Cricetulus griseus: one gene and its partner. The protein of the gene in region 1 binds, or shares a complex with, the protein of each later gene. Links are inferred from orthologs where the notes say so. Each region holds a gene or a part of one and is shown in the gene's direction. Other genes may lie near its edges.

Region 1 (7,354 bases):
TCACTCTCCCTGCCTCAGCCTCACTCAGTAACACATCTGCCCGGTGAGTGGGGACTGAGCTACCTCTTTCACTGTGTCCTTGGAGGCAAGGACATTGCTGGGCAAGTGGGCAGGTGCTCAGCACCCAACCCACAGAATGACGCATGGGTGGGGCATCGTCTCACCCCAGGCTGCTCTGAGCCCAAGGCTGGGCCTCCCTTTGAGGGTCAGGGTCACTGGGCCCAGAGCTGGCTATGCAGCTGCCAGCTGGTATCAGGACTCTGGTTTTCCATGTCCCAAAGGAGGGAGAGCTTGGATGATTGTCCTTCTACTCTTAAGTCTTGACTTCTGAGTCATTCTAGAGAAAGGCGATCTTAAGCTGTGGTCCTGGGAGGGAGGGTGTGGGGTGTGGGAAGATCTAAAAGTGATTTAGAAAACCCACAGCCAGGGGAGGAAGGGAGGTAGAAGGGAACTGGGATTGTCATGTAATTCAATCTTGTTTGTAACTCAAATATATAAAAAATAAAAAACTAAAAAAAAAAAAAAAGAAAAAGAAAAAAGAAAACCCACAGCCACAAAAACACACACTGGGATCTAACCCAGTTGGTAGGCTGTCCCTGGATGGTTTCTCAGTAGTCACAACTGGACTCATTTGCTCCTGGGAAAGAGAGTTGCAGTGTCTGCCTGAACCTGTCTAAATGGGCTTCTTATAGTTTCATTTACCGTAAGGGTGTGTACAGAGGGACTCCTACAGGAGCCCCTTTGTAGGACCACTCTCCTTGCTCTCCAGTGCATAGAAGCCATTGTGCACTGCCTAGCTGTGTGACTTCAGGCAAGTGACTGTATGTCTCTGAGCCTTTCATCTGTAAAAGACTGAGGGAACACAGTGGAGTTTGGCTAGTTGGGAGAGGGACGTTTCAGGAGGCTGGGCTACCTCTGCTCTGCAGGACTGTTAGGCTTTCCCAGGATTTGGCAATCAGAATAGAGCAATGTCACATTTATGTCCCCATGACCGAGTGCCAAGTGTTATCCCAGGTGTCCAGTGTATAGAGTTCATCTAGTTCTTGTAGCCTCCTCTGAGGTTGATGAGAAAACTGAGGCTCTGGGAGAGGTGATGAGACCTTTCCTAAATGTACAGCAAGGAAGTGCCAGGGCTGCTCACATGTTGTGTCAACCAACTCAGTCACTGTGAAAAAACACCCTAGGGAGTTGCCTCAGAAAAAGGAAAGGGTTGGTTCACAGCTTGAGAGATTTCAGTGAATGGTCTTTTGATTCTGCTTTTGCCTGTGGCAATGCCTCATGACGTGGAGCTCAAGGTCAGGCAAAGCCACTTCATGGAAGGCGCTGGATTCCCATAGCCCCTTGAGAGCACATCTCTGAGTGCTTGGAATACTCTCTCTGGATCTCATCCCTTAGAGTTCCTACCTCTCCAGGTACCAAGCTGGTAACCAAGCCATTAGCCCCGGGCCCTTTGTGGAACACCAGATCTGTAGCATTCACACTTGTGGGGAAAGGGTGGGAAAAGAGCTGCCAGAATGCAGCCAGTGTTTTCCTTGGGTCTCCCAGGTAGGAAGATAAGGACAACTTTGATCAGATTAATAAGAGCCATAGCCTATCGAGGACCTTGGCAGTGACTAACTCCCCCAACTCTCTGCACATCCCGATCCTGGGTGTAGACTAAACTCTCCCTTTTAGAAGGCACCCTGAGGTTCACTTCCTATTTCTCCAGGGAGGAAATTGAAATTCAGGGAGGGTCAAGGCTCTGGCGGGCCAAGCCCCAGTCCACAGCACCCTCACTGGGCTGGCTTTGTCATGACATCACTCCTTCCTCTTTGCCCCTGAGAACAGTGGGAAGGGGACTCTGGGCTGTTGCATCACTTCCCATTGGCTAGGAATCTGGTTTGGAGTTTCCAGTGACTAAAACAGCAACTCTGAACTTTCCATTCCTACAGGGCACTTCTCCTGGAGGCTTTCTCTGTAGGAGAATGTCTCACCCCTTCCTCATTTATCTAGAGGGGACTGACAGTATAAGGTCCATTGTATTTATCTTGGCTCTGATGTTTTCTATGGTCCTAGGGAGTTCTGAGCTTTGTCTCTGGCCTTCCTGTCCTCTGCTCCCCCCACTCCCAGCCCATAATCCAAACAGAAAATCTCCATGGAGTTTTGTTCTCTCTAAAGCTCATCCCGTCTCCAGCACAGTACTTAATGCCTTTTTTAAATTAATTAATTAATTAATTATTTTGTGGTGCTAGGGCTGAACCCAGAGCCTCATTGGTGGGAGGCAAACATTGTATCACCACAGTCCCCCAGACACTTGACTTTGTGCTCACATAAATCCCCACTCTGGGATTTTTGAACTCTTGGCACCAAGGCTTGATTTTGTTGCTGTTATTTGCTTTGGGGTTTTTGTTTTATTTTTGTTTTTTGAGTCAGGCTGTCCTAGAACTTGCTTTGTAGACCAGACTGGCCTCGAACTCACAGAAATCCTCCTGCCTCCCAAGTGCTGGGATTAAAGACACCAGCCACCACTGCCTGACTAAGGCTTGATTTTTTTTTTTAATTCCTCGTTTTTTGTTCTGTTTTGTTTTGCGGTACTGGGGATGGAGCCTGGGGTCACCTGCACATGCTAGCAGGTGCTCTTCCATCACGATACCTGCCCAGGCTACATCATTCTCAATGTTTGTTTGTTTTAGTTTTATTTTTTTTCTTTCTTCTTTTTTTTTTCCCCCGAGACATGGTTTCTCTGTATTGCTTTGAGGCTGTCCTGAAACTCACTCTGTAGACCAGGCTGGCCTTGAACTCACCGAGATCTGCCTGCCTCTGCCTCCCTAGTGCTGGGACTAAAGACTTGTGCCACCAAAGCCCTGCTTGTTTGTTTTAAATGTGTCCCTTATGTCAATAAATTCAGTGGCAGGGCTGGATATGGTGGCTCATGCCTGTAATCCTAGCACTTGGGAGGCAGAGGAAGGCAGATCTGTGAGTTCGAGGCCAGCCTGTTCTGCATAGTGAGACCCTATTTTAAAAAAGAAAAAGAAAAATAGCTTTTAAGGGCTGGGAATGTAGATCTGTGGTTTAGCATGAATGAGACTCTGATTTTAAACCCAAGTTCTGCAAAACAAACAAAATCCATCCAACCAAACTAACAAACTTTATGAGCTGGAGAGAAAAGCTCTGAGTAGAGTCATATGAAATGAGGCTCTAGGCTCAGTGTCCAGCACCATGATAATAAAACAGTGATAACAATAATAATTCTAGAAAAAGAATTTAATACAGAATCTCACTATGTAGTCCTAGTTAGCTTGGAACTCACTATGTTTGCCAGGTTGGCCTCAAACTCACAGAAATTCTCTTGCATCTGTCTCCAGAGTGCTAGGATTAAAGGTGTTCACCATCAAGCTTGGCAAATGGTAACAAAAGAGGAACCTAGATTAATTGGGAGAAGGCTTGAACTACAACATTAACAAATAAGAACAGGGTCTTACCTAAGCCAGCACCTTGTGAAGGATGAGAGAGACTGGCCTAGTGGACTTGGCCAGGGAGGGTGGGATTGTCCGTGTAGTTCCATGACAACAACCGTCTTTTTTTTTTTTTCTTCATGAGACAGGGTTTCTCTGTGTAGCTTTGGAGCCTATCCTGGCACTCGCTCTGGAGACCAGGCAAGCACCACCAACACCTTGCAACAACCGTCTATTTTATACCAAACAAATGCAAAGGGAAGCCAGTAATGCTAGCATATGGGAGACAAGGGTAGAAGGATTATTGCATTGGAGGCCTGTCTGGTCTATACAGTAAGACCTTGTTTCAAAAAGTAAAAGAAGGAATGCATAGCCGGGCATTGGTGGCATCCCAGCACTCGGGAGGCAGAGGCAGGTGGATCTCTGTGAGTTCGAGACGAGCCTGGTCTACAAGAGCTAGTTCCAGGACAGCCTCCAAAGCCACAGAGAAACCCTGTCTCGAAAACAAAACAAAACAAAACAAAAAACAAACAAACAAAAAAAGGAATGCATAATTTTGCACTATTGCCAACACAGCTCCTTGCAGTTCTGCCCAGAGTGTCACAGTTAGCAAAGTGCCAACCCCATGGGCTGTGTTTGTCCCTGTGACAGTTCCATAAGGACAGTGACCATGGGTTCATTTGTTCATTCATCCATCACAGATCTATGGATTTTTCCCACCAGAGTTGAGACTTAGCCAGGTACTCAGGGAACAACATCAGAGGACATTTGTTGGGGTCCCCCAAGAGCAGGGTGTCCCTGAGGCTGAGGGCCTCCCTACCTTGCTGCCCTCCCTTCAGCCAGGCAGTGTCTCCATTTGGGGATGTGACATTGTTGGAGAGAGATGAAACTCTCTGCCTTCAGGGGGTTTCTGTTTAGATGAAGTGGGCACAGTTCTGCTCCCCACTGAGGCTTTTTCTGGGGAAGAGACCATCCCAAGCAGAGACACTGCCTCTACTCAAGACTCCCAGGCTCCTGTCTTGTGATCTTCCTCCTGTTGGGTGCAGTAGCCATGCTGACACCCGGGAGGAGCAGTGTGGCAGGAAGGGCCTCTCCCTTGCAGGCAGCAGCTCTAGCTCTAAGCAAAGTCCTCTCTTGTCTTCCAGCCTCCTATGTGATCACAGACCTGACACAGCTGAGGAAGATCAAATCCATGGAGAGGGTACAGGGTGTGAGCATCACTCGGGAGCTGCTGTGGTGGTGGGCCATGCGACAGGCCACTGTCCAGCAGCTGGTGGACCTCCTGTGTCACCTGGAACTCTACCGAGCAGCCCAGATTGTCCAGAGCTGTGAGTAACCATCTGTTCCCAAGGGGGTCTCAGCAAGGGCTAATGTGTCTGTCTGAAGACCTTGTCCATCTTTTATCAGTACAAGGGGTGGAACCAACTCGGTGAGATGAGCTCTCTACCACTGAGCTACACTCTAGCCCTAGGACCCTTCTTTTTCCCAGGTTAAAATTCACACACCAAGTCATTTATTTATCAGATATTATCTGCAGGCCTGCTGTGTACCCTTCGTGGCACTGGGTTTATCAGGAGACATGCTAACTAGCCAGAGACCTAAAACTTTTTATTTTTATAATTAAAAAAATATTGGAGCTGGTGATGGTGGCAGACACTTTTAATCCCAGCACTTGGGAGGCAGAGGCAGGTGGATCTCATTAGTTGAGGTCAGCCTGGTCTACAGAATGAGTTCTAAGACAGCCAGGGCTACACAGAGAAATGCTGTCTCAAAGAAAAAACCAAAAGCAACCAACCAACCAGCCACCACCACCACCAACCAAAAAATGGAGGCCAAGAAGATGGCTCAGTGGGTAAGGGCATTTGTTGCCAAGCTTCATGACCTGGGTTTGATCTCTGGGGCCCACATAGTGAAAGGAGGGACCCCCAAAAGTTGTCCTCTGACCTCCCCATGGGTGTTGTAGCAGCTGTGCCTCTCCAGACAAACACTCAGAAAAAAAAATAAATTGAAAAAAATTAAATATTGGGGAGCCAGGTAGCCAGTAGTAATAGGAAAGGAAAATAAACAGATCAGGAGATAAAAGTGATTGGGTAGGGAAGCCTGGTAAGACTGTGGCCAGGGACGGCCAGGCCAAAGAGAAAACACTGCAGGAGTGGAGAGAAATGGCCACGGGTCAGAGAGCCCAGGAAAAGATGAGGCTGGGGCTGGGGGTGTAGCTCTGGGGTAGGGCACTTGCCTAGAGGTGCAAGGCCCTGAGTTCCAACACCAACACTACAAAAAACAAAAGGAGCATCTGAGGCCTGGAAAGTCCCAGCCTGGGCTTTGAAGTTGACCTGTGTGGGGACCAGAATGGTTGCCTTCTGTGCCAGAGACCCTGATGTAGCACTTGCCTGGATGACCTGACCAGAAGCCTTCTTTTAGAGAAGGATGGGAGTTAGAGTGTACCAGGCTCAGAGCTGCAGCATACGGGCTTTTAGGGCCACCCTGGTACTGTGTCTACTTTTCAGCTGCTGGGTAACTCCCTGGGATCTAATGTGTGTGGGAACCCAGGGTTTTCACACTCCATGATTTTCCCTTTGGAGCTTAAATAGGAGGTGCCTGTTGCAGCAGGAGAGAGTCCAGCCAGGCTTGCTTCTGCATTCCCAGAAATCGTCTCATAAACCAAGCCCCTGCCTATTGGCCATAGCTTCCCCCAGTCTCTGGCTTTGTCCTGTTTGTCCTTCCCTGCCCAGTCTCCTTCCATGTCCACCTTCCCTCAGACTGGACAGGGTAGTCTGCTTGACTCACAGTGCTTTAGAACTGGCTGGAACCTATCCTGTCCTGTTCTGAGCTGTGCCAGACTACTGTTCCTTGTCTCCATTCCCAAGGACCAGCCTGGGAGGCCTGGGGCAAGACACAGCTGAGTGAATCCAGGCTTGGCCCATGCTACAGCCCTGGGAGACTCCCCTACTTTCAGAGTACAGACCCCACCATTGTCTTGTGAAGGCACCAGCCTGGATGCCAAGCAGAGCCCTCTCTGGGACTCTTGGAACCTTGGTCCTTGTGATCACTGGAACCAAGAGGCATTTCATTTGATCATGTGATCAGCCCCTGACGATTGTAACCTCAATTTTCTCTGTATTCCTAGAAAACTGAAATGTGACAGATGCTGGGAAATGATAGTGTTGAAATTGGTGTGATGGCAAATATCTGTAACGCAATCCTTTGGAAGGTAGAGGTAGGAGGAGCAAGAATTCAAAGCCAGCTTTGGCCACATAATGAGTTCAGGGCTAACCTGGCCTACATGAGGGAGGGTTCCCGGAAGTAGGAGGAGCTGCCAGCTCATATGTGGTCACAGTGGGTTTGTTGTAGGTTCACTTTGGGGAGGCAGTTGGCCAGGCCAGGCAAACCCTGAGATTGACGGTGGTGTACCATCGGAGGAAAAGCCCCAGAGGTTGAGAAGCTGTGCCTCCTGCTACATCCCCTGGTCACTGATGGCAGAGATCATTGACTAATCTAGGAAAAATCTTTACCATTTGAGGTCAACAAAGACTGTAGCACCAGATTTAAAGCAATACATTCATGCTTGGTGCAATGGTGCACACTTTTAATTTCAGCACTGAGACAGGCTGATCTCTGAGTTCTGGTCAGCCAGGGCCACATAGAGACTCTGTCTCAAAAACAAACAAACAAACAACAAAAGAATGGCTATGTGACTTGAGATCCCAAGGTCCAAGATCCACCCGGTCTCATCTGGATCCGGGGCCCACTGTTCCACTCTCCCACAGAAGTTAAGCGGGGCCTGTTGCTACCAACTGTGGGCTCTCTGCACCACTTCCTGGCCTTTGGGCTTAAAGCCCTTCTCTGACCAGCGCCCCCTTCTGCCTTTTACTCCCCCACACCCCCAAACACACTTCTGTTTTCCTCAGTCCTGCTGGCTG
Region 2 (7,354 bases), on another chromosome or scaffold:
CATCAGTAGACTTCTGTGGATTGCCCTGCAGAATACATCTAGCACTGGGACGCTAGAGCCCCTTCATACCTTCCACGTAAATTTTTTGTGCACCCTTCTAGTCGCCTCTTGCTGTTTCTTTGTCCTTATGCTCTACACCCTATTGTCTATGGAAACCTCCACTTTTGCATTGAATATAAAACTGTCTGCACTCGTCTCAGAAAGTCCACTGTCTGTTCTCTCAACTCAGAAGATAATCAAGTCAGTTTAAAGGTTTAAGGCCCTGGAAGTCCAATCCCTCATTTCTAATCTGCTCCTTGTGCTGGTCCGTGGACGCTGTTAGGTCTCACACCCAAGACAAAAGGCTAACTGAGGCAGATGCTAGCCACCAGGTTCTCCCAGCATCCCTCAGTCCCTACCTCCAGTTCCTGGCATACCCTGCCCCCTTACCCTAAACTCTGGGTACCAGCCCAACTACTGGGCTTCCCATCCCCCAGCTCCTCTGGCCCCTGTGTAACAGTCATTTGGGCTATGCCAGTCTCTGAGACCAGGCCACCACATTTGGTAGGCAACTCCTCTTTTGTTCTCTGGCCCCCTCCTCATATGGTCAGGCTCAGTTTGGCCATGTTCTCTCTGGACTGTCCCAGATGTCTCTGCCTCTACCTCTGCCTTTGCCGCTGGCTATGCTCTCTCTCACATCTACAATAAACCCCTTAGGAATAGTCATACCCTCCCCTTTATGTCTTTCCTTCATTCTCAAGTACCTCCAACTTCTGTGCCTATTACTCATTTCCTCAGAACTTTTCCCAGCAGACATCCCACTGATTAGAGTTCTCATTCCTGTGTCTTTCGTCAAGATCTCTTGAGGCCCATAGCGACTAACCCCTTTAAAGTTGCAGCCCCTTGTCTCTCAATCTGCCACTGTCTTATTTACCTCTCTGTTACTGTGAAGGAAAAAAAAAAAAACACTATGACCAAGGCAAGGCTGAGTGTAGGATTCTAGAGGGACAAGAGCCTACACCAAGCAGACAAAACAAATGAGATGCAGCACCAGCTCAGAGTTCACCTCTTGACCCACAAGCAGGAAGCAGAGCTGCCTGGGAACATCCCAAGTCTTGAAACCTCAAAGCCAGTAACACACTTCCAGTAACACTTCCTCATCCTCCCAAACAACCACCAAATGGGAACCAAGTATTCAAATGGGGGAGACTTAGGAGGGCCTTTTCCTTCAAATCATCACAGATACCATTTAACATAGGTAAAATGCATTCTTAGCTTGCTACCTTCTTCCTCCATTAGAATAAAACTTCCTTGTGTTCTTGTCTCCCTTTTCTCTCTATTTTTCTGGATTAATGTCAATATCAATGACAAATAGGACACTTTTTTGGTGAATGGATGACAGTATATTCAAAGCATTTTAAGTTGCCACTGAAGTAAATCTGAATAGGAAACATGGGTGTTGCCCGTGGCATCTAAAAGGTCTTTTTGCAGATGTATCAGGGACACAAATGGAGCTGTTGTAGGATGAGAGTCACTGGAAGAGCTGATGTGGAACATTTTTGTTTGGGTATAGGGGAACGTTCAGTAAGTAGAACATTCAAAAGATGGGGCAAAAAATGTGAGTTTGAGGATAAGAAGGAGGAAAGGAGTGATGGAGGGGAGGAGCCAGAGTGGGAGGGAACCAAATGCCTTTATACAGGAGGAGACTTGCAGTTGGGTTTTTGTCTGAATTCAGTGTCTTTGGACCCCATCACAAATCACTTAGGATTCTCTTGTGCCTAAGCAGCTTTGCTCATAGGGGAGGGCACAAATTTCATCCTTAGCAGTCAGATCTAGTCTTTTTAAATGTTGAAGTACTGCAGTAGCTAAGGAGTTGAGCTGGTCCTGAAGGATGTTAAGCTGATCTGAAAATGCTGTAAGTGTCTCTGGTATCTGGTGAGACAGAGAAGTTAATTGATGCAAAAGGGGCTTCAGTCCAGCTGTTTTAGTTCTGAGTCCTGGAAACAACGCCCAGGGTGGCAAAAAGAGGGATAAGATGGCTTATTAGTTCCCCCCTCGGAGGTCACCCAAACTGCTCTGCAGGGGGAGGGGGACTTAGGGGCACTGATTTCAATGGCTTCAAGCTGACAAAAATGAATGATGTTATGGGATCACAGTTAGGGAGTCTCAGAGGAGGATCCATTCAAGGAGCCACAATAAAACATGACAGATGGGAAACATTCAAAACGTAAGTTGGGAGGTAATAACTGTACAACCTTGTGTAGGGAGAGTTTTTCTATCCCACCAGGCAGCTGTGTCCCACCAACCAGCTCCCAAATAACCACACAGAGATTTATTATAAATGCTCAGCTGATAGCTTAGGCTTGTTGCTAACTAGATCTTACATCTTAACCCATATTTCTTATGCCACATGGTGGCACCTTTTCTCAACACGACATGTTCATCTCCTGCTTCCTCTGCGTCTTGCTGGCGACTCCTCATCACTTCTCCTTTCTTCTTCCCAGTGTCCTCTCTGGCTCTCTCACCTAACTTCTTCCTGCCTAGCTATTGTCCATTTAGCCTTTTATTATGCCAATCAGAAGGTGCCCTGGCAAAGACACATCTTCACAGTGTACACAAAGATTATTCCATAACAACCTTGTGGGACTATTAAGAGGCAAAGTTAAAGAAGAAAAATTTTTAGATCAAGATTAACCTAAGTTTTGTTTGCTAAGGTTAAGTGATCAGTTGTTTCTAGGTCTGTGATGAGGGGGAACTTCATGACAGAGAGCACATAGTGGGACAAATCTGCCTACTTATGGTGTGGGAAAGGGCAGAGAGAAGGAGGAAGGAAAGAAAAGAAATAGCAAGGGGAACAGAGTCCAGGCCCATCAAGAGGAACATAGCCAGTGAGCCTTTTCATTGAGGTAGGTCCTACCTCCTAAAGTTACCACCAGTTCCCAATATCTCATTAGGCTATGAATCCATCAATGGATGAATATATTGATAGATAATAGGAGAGACTTCATGATCCTAACACCTGCCAAATGCACCCCCAACACAGAACACTACTATGTTAGGAACAAAGCCTTTAAAACAAGAGCTTATGGGAGCTATTTCAAATCCAAACCATACTGTCCAATATCAGTATCTATAATGTATAAGTTGCATTAATGAATAGAATGAGTTTGGTCCTTAACTCATGAAGCTGACAGTCTAATGGCAGAGACAGGTGGTAAACAAGCAACTAATTATAAATTAATTATGCAGGGGTGAATTATAATTAGGTATGGGAAAAAAATCAACTTATGTACATATGATAGACATTGAAGGCCAGAGAGACATGAATGCTAGCATAGACACTTATATACAGACAAATGTATTTTTTACTGTTTTATAGCTTTTATATTTTGCACCATTTGAATATATGATTTACTCCCAAGATTAACTGTATTTAAAAAATGAACACATACAGAAAAATCCTTGAGATAGGAGTCTGTTTCTCTTGATTAACAGGAAGGAAGGAAGGAAGGAAGGAAGGAAGGAAGGAAGGAAGGAAAGAAAGAAGGAAGGATTATTGTCTGTTGAGAATGAGGGACAGAGAAAGCACAGAGAGAGGTAAAAGTAGGAAATGGCCCCAAAAGACATGGAGAGAAAAGAAAAAGGTTAAGTGCATGCTGGAGGCCCAATGGAAAGGCGGTTCTCATCAGTCTATCCAGTAGTCTACGACTGAGCTCAGCAGCTCTGTGTACAAGGAACACTGGGAGGTGTCTCTTGGCTGCAACCTCCAAGGTGGAATACTAGGAAACAGGAGGGTTGATCAAATAAAGGCCCTATCATGAGAGGAGCCACAGAGGTGGCCATGGATTCCACTGTGCAGAAAACAGTTGTGCCGACCTCAGGCTCAAAACTGTTCGAGGTTCTTTGTGTGAGACATGAAAAGTAGGTGGATGGGTATGCCTTTAATGCTATATAAATTAGGGTTTTTTGTTGTTGTTTGTTATCAAAGAGGTTGCATAAAAAATGTTAACAGGAGATGCTGGAGGGATGGCTCAATGCTTAAGAGCCCTTGCTGCGGAGGACCCAGGTTCAGCTCCCAGCATCCATATGGTGGTTCATAGTCATCAAGAACTCTAGTTCCAGACCATCTGGTACCTTTTACTGACATCTGGGGGCACCAGACCGGCACATGGAGCACATACATACATGCAGGCAAAATACTCATATACATAAAATAAAATGAATAAATCATTTTTTAAATGTAACAGTAAATGGGTACTGATTGGGAAAAATACTTTAAATTAGAAGATAAGTCTCTTCTATTCATTTCATAGATTTGATTCCTAAACATGCTCCCAGGTCTCTCTCCAATAAACATCTTGCTTTTTATAAATTTCACGTGGAAAATTCCAGTGTCAGAATGAAGTTTTCCAATGTTGGTTTGTGGGGGTTTGCTGGGAGAATAATCCTAGAGGGTGATTAGACACCTTTCAATCAGAGGTGGGTTGGAGCGAGAGTTGCTGTGTTCAGATGGTCAGTTGTAGCATCTCATGCATCTTACCAATGCATGACATGCAGCTTCTAGATGCTGGCTCTGAAACTGTTGTAAAGTTGTGGGGTCTTTACATTTTTTGTTTGTTTTGGTTTTTGTTGTTTTTTTTATTTTTACTTATTTATTTGTTCAGTTTTCGAGACAGAGTTTCTCTGTATATCCCTGACTATCCTGGAACTTGCTCTGTAGACCAGGCTGATCTTAAACTCAGAGATCCACCTGCCTCTGCCTCCCAAGTACTGGGAGTAAAGTTTTGCACCACCACTGCCCAGCTGACCTATTGTAAAGTTTCAATGAGAATTTTTCATATTTCAGGTAGAAGATGAACAAGCCTCTGACACCATCCACATACGTACGGAGCCTCAATGTTGGACTCATTAGGAAGCTGTCTGATTTTATTGATCCTCAAGAAGGATGGAAGAAATTAGCAGTAGCTATTAAAAAGCCGTCTGGTGATGATAGGTACAATCAATTTCATATAAGGTAATATGGTGTTTATTTTTTCTTTTTAAATCCTTCCCATCACAAAAAAAGGATTCAGGCATAAACACTGTCTAACATAACTGTCTCTTCTCATCTCTGCTTGATTTAGTAGAAAATACAAATTCAGATTAAAATTTGTTGTTGTTGTTGTTGTTTGTCAAGACAGGGTTTCTCTGTGTAGCTTTGGAGCCTGTCCTGGCACTCACTGTGTGGACCAGGCTGGCCTTGAATGTGCATAGATCCGCCTTCCCCTACCTCCCAAGTGCTAGGATCTAGGCATGTACCACCACCACCCGGCCTCAGATTTAATTTTGTGCTATATTTTGCAGTTAAAACTTAATGTCAAAAGTTTGTCTTACATAAAAAGAAAAATAAATTATTGTTTTGTTTTGTTTTTTTAAATAAATGTGATAAAGACTCTAAAGGCTGGGCTCTCAGATTGTCCTTCCTGCAAGTGTACGCTCACATGAAGGCAAACATTTTAAGGTACAAGGGAGAAGCTCAGCTTTCAAACTTGAAAACCAGATTTTCAAAGATAGTTTGTTGATATTTCCATTAAAAATGCAAGGTTGTCACAGCAGTCGTTCTAGAGAGAAAGGGTTCTTCCATACTGAACAGTGCCACAGGCATTGGCAGAATAGTAGAATTTATGTTAGCCATGTATAGCCACCAGGGACGACTGCTTCCCATGAGCCTCATGGGGCTCAAACATAAACGTTTTGTCCACAAATTTTGTATGCATTAAGAAAGAGAAAACCAACTGTTGCTAGTGACAGGGTCTTGCATAGCCAAGGCTACCAGCTGACCAATTGGTAAATCTAGATGGAGGGCAAGTTGTTGCTCACTGTGTTATTCTTTCAAAGTTTTTGTTAAGTTTGAAATTTTTCCAAATATAACCCTGGGAGGAAAAATCAGAATAAGCTGTTTGTGTTAAGTTTACAGTGTTACTTTCTAATTTTTAATTTTAAAGAAATGAGATGAAAAATAAAGATGTTTTCCGTTCTATTTAATTAAATAAAGTTGAGATCAAAGTGTAGGCACATTCTGCTTCATGAGGCAGGCTTGTTCATTTTAAAGTCTACAGCTAGAAGACTGACTAAGTCATGTAAAGTGCATGTAAGACACTGCAATATAGCTAAGTGGTTTAAAAGTGTATGCTTTGTTCGAGAGAGTTCAGAATTTGGATCTAAACCTGGGTAACATTTTGAGTGTGCTGTGTGGCTCACAACTGGCTACTCCACCCATCCCAGTCTAGCACTCTCATGGTAACATTCTCAGCTGTCTCTCTAGCGATATCCTGTAGCTCTCTGAGGTGGGTTTGACTTGTATATGTGTTTGTGTGTTTGTGTTAACTGTGCGTGTATGATAAGTGTCCATGTTTGTGGCGGTCAGAGGTCAGCATGGGGTGCCTTGCTCACTCTCGATCCATCTTGTTTTTTGAGACACGGTATCTCACAGAGACTGGAACTTACAAATTCATCTAGACTAACTAACCAGTGGGCATCAGGAATACAGCCATCACTGCCTGTGCAGCCCAATATTAGAGAAGGCGCTCTGCACTGGCTGTTCTTCGCCTGGATGCTGGGGAATCTGAACTCGGGTCCTTAGCCTTCATACTGGCAACGACAAGCACTTTACCAACTGGGATATCTCCCCACCCCAAAAGTTAGCTTACAATTTTTTAGCTCTTTATTTTATTCCATGTGTATGCATTGCTTTGTCTACATGTATGTATTTGCACCACATGCATACCCATACCTGTGGAGGGCAGAAGATGGTTTTATATCCCCTGGAACTGGAAATGCAGGTAGTTGGGAGCTGCCCTGAGGATGCCCTGGGAAGCAAACCCTGGTCCTCTGTAAGGGCAACAGTTTTCTCAACCACTGAGCATCCCTCCAGCCTCAGTTGTTAACCTGAATTCTCTGGCTCCTTTTCTGCTGAGTGTCATTCTCCTAGATGGGGTACTTCTGGTTCTCTCATACTCCGGTTCCTTTACTGTCTTCCGGAGGGTCAGTGATCCGGACAGGAGGGGACTCGGGAGTGGTGACAAGATCAGTGTCTATCTTCAGATGAACTCTCATTGTGTACTAGTTTTGTCTTTTGTTTTTCAGGAGATTTGAAGCCTTACTCCAAACTGGGAAAAGCCCCACGTGTGAGCTGCTGTTCGACTGGGGCACCACAAACTGCACAGTTGGTGACCTTGTGGATCTTCTGATCCAGATTGAGCTTTTCGCCCCTGCTACTCTCCTGCTGCCAGGTAAACTGGGTGTGGCCAGAGTGCCAGCCACTGTCTGAAGTGATGAATGGCAGGAATCGAAGTTTTATTTCTCTGTTTACTCTTCTATGGAATGAACACACCTG

What was found. The genes of interacting proteins can lie anywhere in the genome.
Region 2: the proteins of Irak2 (region 1) and Irak4 are in contact, whole or in part, in a crystal structure (PDB 3MOP), measured with the Homo sapiens proteins. The link is inferred for Cricetulus griseus from reciprocal best matches to the Homo sapiens genes IRAK2 and IRAK4. Residues at the interface, in NP_001561.3 of Homo sapiens: Tyr6, Ile36, Lys44, Met48, Glu59, Trp62, Trp63, Trp64, Gly65, Met66, Arg67, Gln68, Ala69, Gln73; in NP_001107654.1 of Homo sapiens: Asp24, Phe25, Pro28, Gln29, Lys34, Glu92, Phe93, Phe94, Ala95, Pro96, Ser98, Val105.

What each region holds. Positions count from the first base shown.
Region 1 is NC_048601.1:31,149,604-31,156,957, reverse strand, and holds part of Irak2 (interleukin-1 receptor-associated kinase-like 2), read left to right. Parts: intron 1-4,579; coding exon 4,580-4,762; intron 4,763-7,354. UniProt on the Homo sapiens protein: Binds to the IL-1 type I receptor following IL-1 engagement, triggering intracellular signaling cascades leading to transcriptional up-regulation and mRNA stabilization.
Region 2 is NC_048595.1:391,031,560-391,038,913, forward strand, and holds part of Irak4 (interleukin-1 receptor-associated kinase 4), read left to right. Parts: intron 1-4,825; 5' UTR 4,826-4,832; coding exon 4,833-4,993; intron 4,994-7,104; coding exon 7,105-7,250; intron 7,251-7,354.